Oryctolagus cuniculus: one gene and its partner. The protein of the gene in region 1 interacts with the protein of each later gene in a biochemical or structural test. Links are inferred from orthologs where the notes say so. Each region holds a gene or a part of one and is shown in the gene's direction. Other genes may lie near its edges.

Region 1 (3,558 bases):
AAGCAGCGGAGGATGGATTGGGCCCCTGCACTCAGGTGGGAGACCCACATGAAGCTCCTGGCTCCTGGCTTCCACCTTGCCCAGCCCTGGTCGTTGGGGCCATTCAGGGAGTGAACCAGCAGATGGAAGACCTCTCTCTCTGTAACTCTGCCTTTCAAATAAATAAAATAAATCATTTTTTAAAGATCTACTTTATTTATTTGAAGAGTTACAGAGAAAGAGGTAGAGACAGAGAGAAGGTCTTCCATCTTCTGGTTCACTCCCCAGGTGACCCCAACGATCAGGGCTGAGCAAGGTGGAAACCAGGATCTTTTTCCAGGTCTCCCACATGGGTGCAGGGACCCAAAGACTTGGGCCATCTTCTGCTATCCCAGGCCATAGCAAAGAGCTGGATCAGAAGAGGAGCAGTCAGGACTAGAACCAGTCCCATATGGGATGCTGGCGCTTCAGGCCAGAGCTTTAACCTGCTGTGCCCATAGCTCTGGCCCCAAAATAAATCTTTAAAAAAGAAAGAAATAGGGGAATCCTGTAGGGTGAGGCAAAGGGATGCTAGACAGTAACTCTACGAAATATCAAAGTAAGCGTCATACTTGGTGAAATACTGAAAATAGTTCCTCATAAGTTGAGAACAAACACCCATCACCCATCATCTTGCTGTAATAATAATTGCCAATTTAGGATCAGTCTTGTTTCCTCTATCCCCACCTACTTACCCCTGCACTCCAGATTATTTTGAAACAAATGCTAGACATTATAACATTTTACCCATAGTGTGTATTTGAATGACAATAATTTAAAATATTTAAGTATGACTATAATTGTCATATTTAAAATATTTAACAATATTTCCTTGGTATCATCAGATGGCTCAAAATTTCCTGATGGTCTCTAAGTTTTGTGTGTATTTTTTAAATTTATTTGTTATTAGCAAATTCCAAAAAGGGCTGTTCTTTCTTTCCCCTCCAACCCTATTTATCTTCTAAAGAAATCAGGTTGGGGCCAGCATTGTGGTACAGTGGGGAAAGCCATGGCCTGTGATGCCAGCATCTCATATGGTTACTGGTTCATGTCCCAGCTGCCCCACTTCGATCCAGCTCCCTACTCATGTACCTGGGAAAAGCAGTGGAAGGTGATCCAAGTACTTGAATCCTGTCACTCATGTGGGAGACTGGGATGAAGCTCCTGGCTTCTGGCTTTGGCCTGGCTCAGCCCTGGCAGTTGCAGCCACTTGGAGAGAAAACCAGCAAGATGGCTTTCTCTCTCTCCCTCCCTTTCCTCCCTCTCCCTTCCCCCATCCCTTCACCGCCATCCCTGTAACTCTGCCTTTCAAATAAATAAAACTTTAAAAAAAAGAAATCAAGTCATTTCTGCAGTTTTCCCAGAGCTGTATTTTTTAACTGCTTTCTCATGGAGCTGTTTAATATGTTCCTGTGTTCCCTTTATTTTTTATAAATTGGTAGGTAAATAATTTTAATATGAAATTGTCATTATAGTCAAAACTCATAAGTTAGTGCTTAATTTTGTTTCACTGCTTTGATCAGTGCAGAATATGTGAAACCCTTCTGTCATCCCAAGTATGAAGCAGCATATTCAGTGGATGAATCTGTTTTTAGTGATATTAGTATTTTAACAGTCTTTTCTCCTTTGTTGTCTTTTTTCAAATATTATGTGTTAAATACCAATTTCTAAATTTGTTTGCTTTAGGGAAATGAATAAGCGTCTAACAGAAGAACAAGCCAGAAAAACTTTTGAGAGAGCCATGAAACTGGAACAAGAGTTTACTGAACATTTCACAGGTCAGAACCATATAGGACAGTGCCCTCTATGGCAGCATTTTGCTTGGCAGCCACATAAACTAACCCAAATGGATTTGAACTGTGCCCACATCTCCTAGTGCTGTCATTTTCAGATTAAACCTGTGTGGTCTGTGCTTCTGTGCTGTGGGAAATTCATTTAGCCAGAGCAGTAGTGGTGGGAAATATTGAAATTTAGTGTTTAAGACGTTGTTAACTAGGACAGCATGTACAGGAAAAGTCATACTTCACCAAAGAAAAAATAATTTAGGTTGATTTTCTTTTCTGAAACTCTGCTTTTATCCTTTCTAAATTTTAAGTCATTTTTTCCAGCTTTATTGAGGTATAATTGACAAATATGTATATGTCCAAAGTACAGTATGATTTGATATATGTATACATTGTGAATTGATTACCACATTCAAATATACACATCTGGCCAGCATTGTGTAGCAAATTAAACTGCCTGCAACACTGGTATCACATATGGGTGCCAGTTCAAGTCCTGGCTGCTTCACTTCCAGTCCGACTCCCTGCTACCCTGGGAAGGCAAAAGAAGATGGCCTAAGTGCTTGGGCTCCTGCATCTGTATGGAAGACCCAGATGAAGTTCCTAGCTTCCGCTTGACCCAGTCCCAGCCATTGCAGCCAAATGAGAAGTTCTCACGTTCATGCTCTCTCTCTCTTTTCCCCTCCCCCCCCTTAACTCTACCTTTCAAATAAATAAATATTTAATAAAAATATTTTTATGTTATACAACAGAAAAATTAATGAAATGAACAATTTTTACTAAGTAAGTAATACATAAATGGTGACTTCCCGGATGAGTAACTGTTACCGAGATTTGGCTCTGTTTCACCAATAATTGTTATGGCAAAGAGAGACGATTAACAGAAGTTCTAATTTTATCTGTCGTTACAGCTATTGTACAGGGAGATACGCTGGAAGACATTTACAACCAAGTAAAGCAGATCATAGAAGAACAGTCTGGTCCTTACATCTGGGTTCCAGCCAAAGAAAAGTTATGAAGACTGGTGTTGCTCGGCTTCTCTTTCCACAGTCTCGTGTTCTTCGACACTTCTTTGCCTTTCCTCTGGAGTCTGTCTTCAGTGCTCCTTTCCTGTTGAATCATGTCCACTCCTCATGGTCTGCAGTTGCACTTAATTTTGACAAATAGTCTCCTTCAGGTTGCACCATCTGCATTTTTCTATGTCACTGTTGGTTTGTGGCCATTTTTTAAAACTGAAGATGAAATGGCCTGACCAGCTATTAAGGGTTTTGGGAGATGTGGAAATTGTGGTAAAATTCCTTAATGTTTAAGGGAAAGTAACTTTAAGAGATTTTCAGAAAAGCTTTATATACATTCTTTTCAAATTTCAATATAAATGAAAGAAAAGTGGTTTTAATCAGTGATTTCATAGACTTTGAGCAACTATGCACGCTTAACTTTAATAGCATGGTTTGGCCAATGTGTTAGCTATCAAGTTCTTTTCCCAGTTGACTTCTGTTATCAGAGCAGTTATTTCCCTATAGACATAAGAAAAAAAATGTGGTTTTTTTATTTCAAAATTAATGTCTGAGTTAACTTTCATAACTTCACAAGGGATATTCATTTTTCATAAGTGTTCTCAAAGTTTTGTTGTTCGAGGGTTTTTTCCCAGTACATTTATTAGAAATAACAATATTCAAACATTTTTAATCTACTTGTGCAACACTATTTTTAGTGTCTTACAAAAGTTGTTCACATATAACAATCATCACGTTTT
Region 2 (4,270 bases), on another chromosome or scaffold:
AGGTGAGCATCCCTCCGCCCAGCCCCGACTCCTGCCCAGTGACCAAGCAGCGGAGGACTGAGCCCGTGAGACAACGCCCTGTTCCACTCTCCCCCTCCTCCACAGGTCATCTGCCTCGGCGCATCGGCCTGCCCGCAAACCACGGGAAGGTGTGCTAGGAGCGCACGTCAGGTTGCTGGAGCCCCCCTCCCATCTGCTCACCCAGGAGCAGCATGATGTGGCAGCATCAGGCCCCCCTGGTGTCTGCCTGTGACAGGCGCGGGACCAGAGGAGCCCTGTGGACGCCTGCGCGGAGAAGGGACAGCACGTTTGCTAAGCACTTACTATGAGCTGCACATTAACCTGCCTCTGCAGGAGGGGGAGGGGAGGGCCCCCATTTTGCAGACAGGTCCAGTCAAGTCTCTCTCAAGGTCACGCAGAGGTCCTTTGGAGCCCAGGCTGGCCTGTCTGCTAAGCTCACCAAGCCAGAGCCATGCCCATGCCCAGCCTGGGGCCTGGCACGCAGTGAATGACCTCTCTGAGGGCATCGGGAGGGCCTCTCTGGGAAGGGGCACGGGGCTGGGCTTGGAGAAGAGCAGGGGTTCTCAGGGGAAGGCGGTGGGGGTCCCTGCGCGTGTGGGCCCCTGGCTCTGGGAGCTGTGGGGACCAGGGTGTCCGTGTGGGCATGCAGCCGGCAGGGCTTGGGGCTGGGTCCTCTGGGGTGGGGGAAGGGAAAGGTCACGACCCTGGTGCTCCGTGTGACCTGTGCTGGACTCCCCCCTGGGCTTCAGCTTGGAGTAGAAGCCAGACTGCATTTCAGAGCCAGCCAGCTCTCCGCTAGCCACCCCAGTCTCCCTGTCTGCTCTGGGGCGCCAGGGCGGCTCTCCTGGCTGTCTACCCCCAGGGGTCCTCTCTCTGCCACCCTGGGGGGAGCAGGACTCTGGCCCGGCTCCTGAAAGGAGCGGCTGGAGGGTCCCCGGAGTGCCTGGGGAGCCGGACCGGCTCGCTGGCAGTGGGGCCGGGTGGCAGGGTGTGGACCCTCCTTTACGAAGACCGCTGAGTAAGACGGGTTTGGGGGGACCGCAGACGACACGGGCCTGGCGTTTGGCCACGTCTGGGTGACCTTGGGAGCTCTGACCCGCTGGTTGTCACTCTCCCGGCCCTGGCGCTGCCGAGACGGTGGTGAGGGTCCCTCCAGGAGGGCTGCCCGACCTCCCAGAGGAGGTGCGCAGGGCTCCTCACTGTCCGGTCTTTGGGACGGAACGGGGAGCGCCAAGAGGAGGGGGCCGGGCCCACGGGACTCCAGACTGGCCGGCTCCCACCCACCCGCTCCAGGCTCGGAGGAACCCTCCCCACCTGCCCCTGGGGGGGCTACAAAACCCGGGAGCGGATTCTCGGAGCGGCTTCTGGGAGGAGCGCTCCCGGGGCGAGGAGGAAAACCCGCGCAGGATCTCGGGCAGGAGCGGGGCACGCAGCCCCCCAGCCCCTGCCCCCGGCCGGCGCCGCAGGCCCCGCGGGAGCGGGTTGCATGCCCGCGTAGACTGAGCGAGCCGGGCCGGGTCGGGCCCCGCGGGCCGCCGGGGCTCCGGGCCGGGCGCGTGGCCTCCGCAGCGGGGCGCGGGTCACGTGTGAGGAGGGGCGAAAGTCTCGCAAAGCGGGCGGCAGGCGGCGAGTTGGGAGTTCTCGGCGCGCCGCGGGCCGGGAGCTCGGGCTCCAGGAGAGCCGGGGACGCGGCGGCGGAGCGGGGCGGGGGAGAGCGCCGGGCGCGGGGCGCGGAGGGGACGCTGGAGACGCGCGGGGGAGACAGGCGCGGCAGAGGCGGGGGCGCGGGGGAGACGGAGACCCGGACCTCGCGGGCAGAGCGCGGGAGGCGGGCGGCGCCGCGAGAGGGCAGAGACCCCCGCGCAGCCGGAGCGAAGCCGGGAGCAGCAGCGGCAGGGGGCGGCCGAGCCCGCGGCGGGAGCGGGAGGGTGACCCCAGGCCGGCGGCGGAGCGGGCAGCGCGCGCCAGCGGGACCCGGTGACCGACAGAGCTCTCGGCGGGGGCGGCCGAGGCGCGGCGGCGGGGCCGGGCGCCCCCGGAGCCCCGCGCTTTGAGCCCGCACCCGGGGCCGGATGATGCTGACGCCCCGGCTGCGCCGAGGGCGCGGCGCGGGGCAGCGCTGAAAGTTGGGTGGCCCGCGGGGAGCGGCGCAGGACGGCGCGGAGGTCCCGAGACCCACGCACGGACCGACCGCAGCCGGGGAGGGCGCGGGCCGGTCGGCCGCGTCCGCGGGGAGCCGCGCCGGGACTCCCCGCTGCCCGCGCGGACGCCGTGGGATGTAGCGCCCGCTCACCGCCGCCCGGACACCGTCGGACCCTCAACCCCGGGGTAAGCCGGGCGCGCGCCCTCCGCGGCCGCTGTCCGTCCGTCTGTCCTGCCGCGTGCGTGTCTGTCTGTCCCAGCCCGGCCGCTCTGGCCCCCACGGCTCTTCAACTTGTCCCTGACCTGGGTCCCGGCGCGCGTTTGGCGCGGTCCCGTGACTTCCCAGGAGCTAGCGGGCTGTCCGCGTGTCCGTCGAGAGCGTGGCGGTCTGGGTGGCGGCTGGGGAGGTGACTGGAGGAGACCCTGACCTCCTGGCCGGCCAGTGACCCTTTCCCGCCTCCGCCCACCCCCACCTCCCCAACCCCCACTGTCAGACCCAGAGCTTCAAGGCAGGTGACTGGGGCAAGGGGGTGGAGGTGGGGGTGTCTCCTTCCCACCTCCCCCCACCTGGCACGTTTGAGCACCTGCTGTGTGCCGGGCCACTCCAGGGCAGACGGGCAGGGACCCACAGTTCACAGGGTGGGAACCGAGGCTGGGCAGAGGGAGAAGTGGTGCTTCCGTCACGCAGGCAAGAGAGGTGTGAGACTCCCCCCACCTGCAGAACGGGCCCCCACCCACACTCCTGTGCCCTGCCCAGGCTGCAGGGCCCGGCGCCCAGGTTCAGTTCACCATGGAGGGCTTCCGGAGCAGTGGGTTGGCAGCAGCAGGTGGGGGGAACCCAGAGGGGCTGCAGCCGTTCGTGTGTGTGTGTGTGTGTGTGTGACATCCCCTCCTCCACACATACAGTCCGGTGCCCTCCAGGGCTCTAGGGTTTGGGGGCCTGAGGGGCCCCGGAGTCACATGGTGGCCCTGCCTGGCCTGCGCTGGCTGGAACAAATGGAAGAGGGGTGCGAGGGGCCCGAGCAGAGGCTGTCAGCCTGCCTGGGTGGATCCACATCCACGCTGGAGCCGGGAGGGCTGAGTCTGGAACATTCGACTCTGTTCCAAGGTGTGGGGGGGCCCTCTGTGGGGTTGTCTACACTGGGCAGAGAGCCTCATATACCCTGCATTCGGGTTCCTGAAGTGAGCTCAGCTGCTGAGATGGAGTGCCCTGGGCGAGCCACTTCCCTCCCTGACTCTCAACTTCCAAATCTGTGGAATGGGGTCATTGCTCCGCGCCCCACTGCCCTCCACTGGGGGGCGCTGGGCTGGGGAGTGGCTGGGCGGGTGGGAGTAAGGATTTTTTTCCTTTAGGGGCCGAGCAGCTCGTGGCCAGGGGCAGGGTGAAGGGACACTGCCCTAGGACAGGAGTGTCCAGGAATCAGAGGGACCTGTGGCTTGGGAGCCGTACCTCGTGGACCCTTGGGTTCCCCTTGAAAAGGGTCCTCTCCCGAGAAGGTGGAGCTGTCCGAGGTGACTCAGAGCTGGGTTAGGGTTTCTGCTGGCTGTCCTTGGGCAGCTGGCTTGACCTCTCTGAGCCTGGGGAACTGGACCTGGACGGACTTCGAGCTGCGCGCACGAGGCCGCAGGCTGGCAGCATCTTCGCGGATGTGTGCGGGAACTCTGGGCGAAGCAGCCCTGGGAGATGCTGCGAAAAGATTTCTGTGCTTTAGGCTAAGCGGGAGGGGGCAGGAGCCGTGTGGGCTCACAGGGCGGCTGCTTCTTAATGTGGATCTGGGGGAGGCGGGGGCGAGTGCCAAGGGGGGTGTGAGGAGGAGGGGCCCCTCTGCGGGGACTACTGAGTCACGAGGACAGGGACGCGACATGACAACCAGCAACATGGTAACCAGGAAACTAGCGGCGGTGGGAAACGGAGCCGGAGCGCGTGTTGGGGGGTGCGGGTGCGGGGCAGCGCTGGCTGGAGGGTCCCTGCAGCAGCCCGCCGGCTTCCCCCAGACAGGAAGGGAGGCCCGGAGACCCGGTGGGCCGGGGAGGAGCTGGGGGCCCGAGTGGAGGGAGGGGTCCGCAGGGCAGGGGGCTTCTCCTGCCTCCCAGGCTCCTCTTCTCC

What was found. The genes of interacting proteins can lie anywhere in the genome.
Region 2: the proteins of DLG1 (region 1) and KCNJ4 form a complex in vitro, tested with the Homo sapiens proteins (2 studies listed by BioGRID and IntAct, with this or other methods). The link is inferred for Oryctolagus cuniculus from reciprocal best matches to the Homo sapiens genes DLG1 and KCNJ4.

What each region holds. Positions count from the first base shown.
Region 1 is NC_091435.1:83,512,895-83,516,452, reverse strand, and holds part of DLG1 (disks large homolog 1), read left to right. Parts: intron 1-1,704; coding exon 1,705-1,796; intron 1,797-2,713; coding exon 2,714-2,820; 3' UTR 2,821-3,558. UniProt on the Homo sapiens protein: Essential multidomain scaffolding protein required for normal development. Recruits channels, receptors and signaling molecules to discrete plasma membrane domains in polarized cells.
Region 2 is NC_091442.1:115,108,488-115,112,757, reverse strand, and holds the start of KCNJ4 (inward rectifier potassium channel 4), read left to right. Parts: upstream 1-1,413; 5' UTR 1,414-2,349; intron 2,350-4,270. UniProt on the Homo sapiens protein: Inward rectifier potassium channels are characterized by a greater tendency to allow potassium to flow into the cell rather than out of it.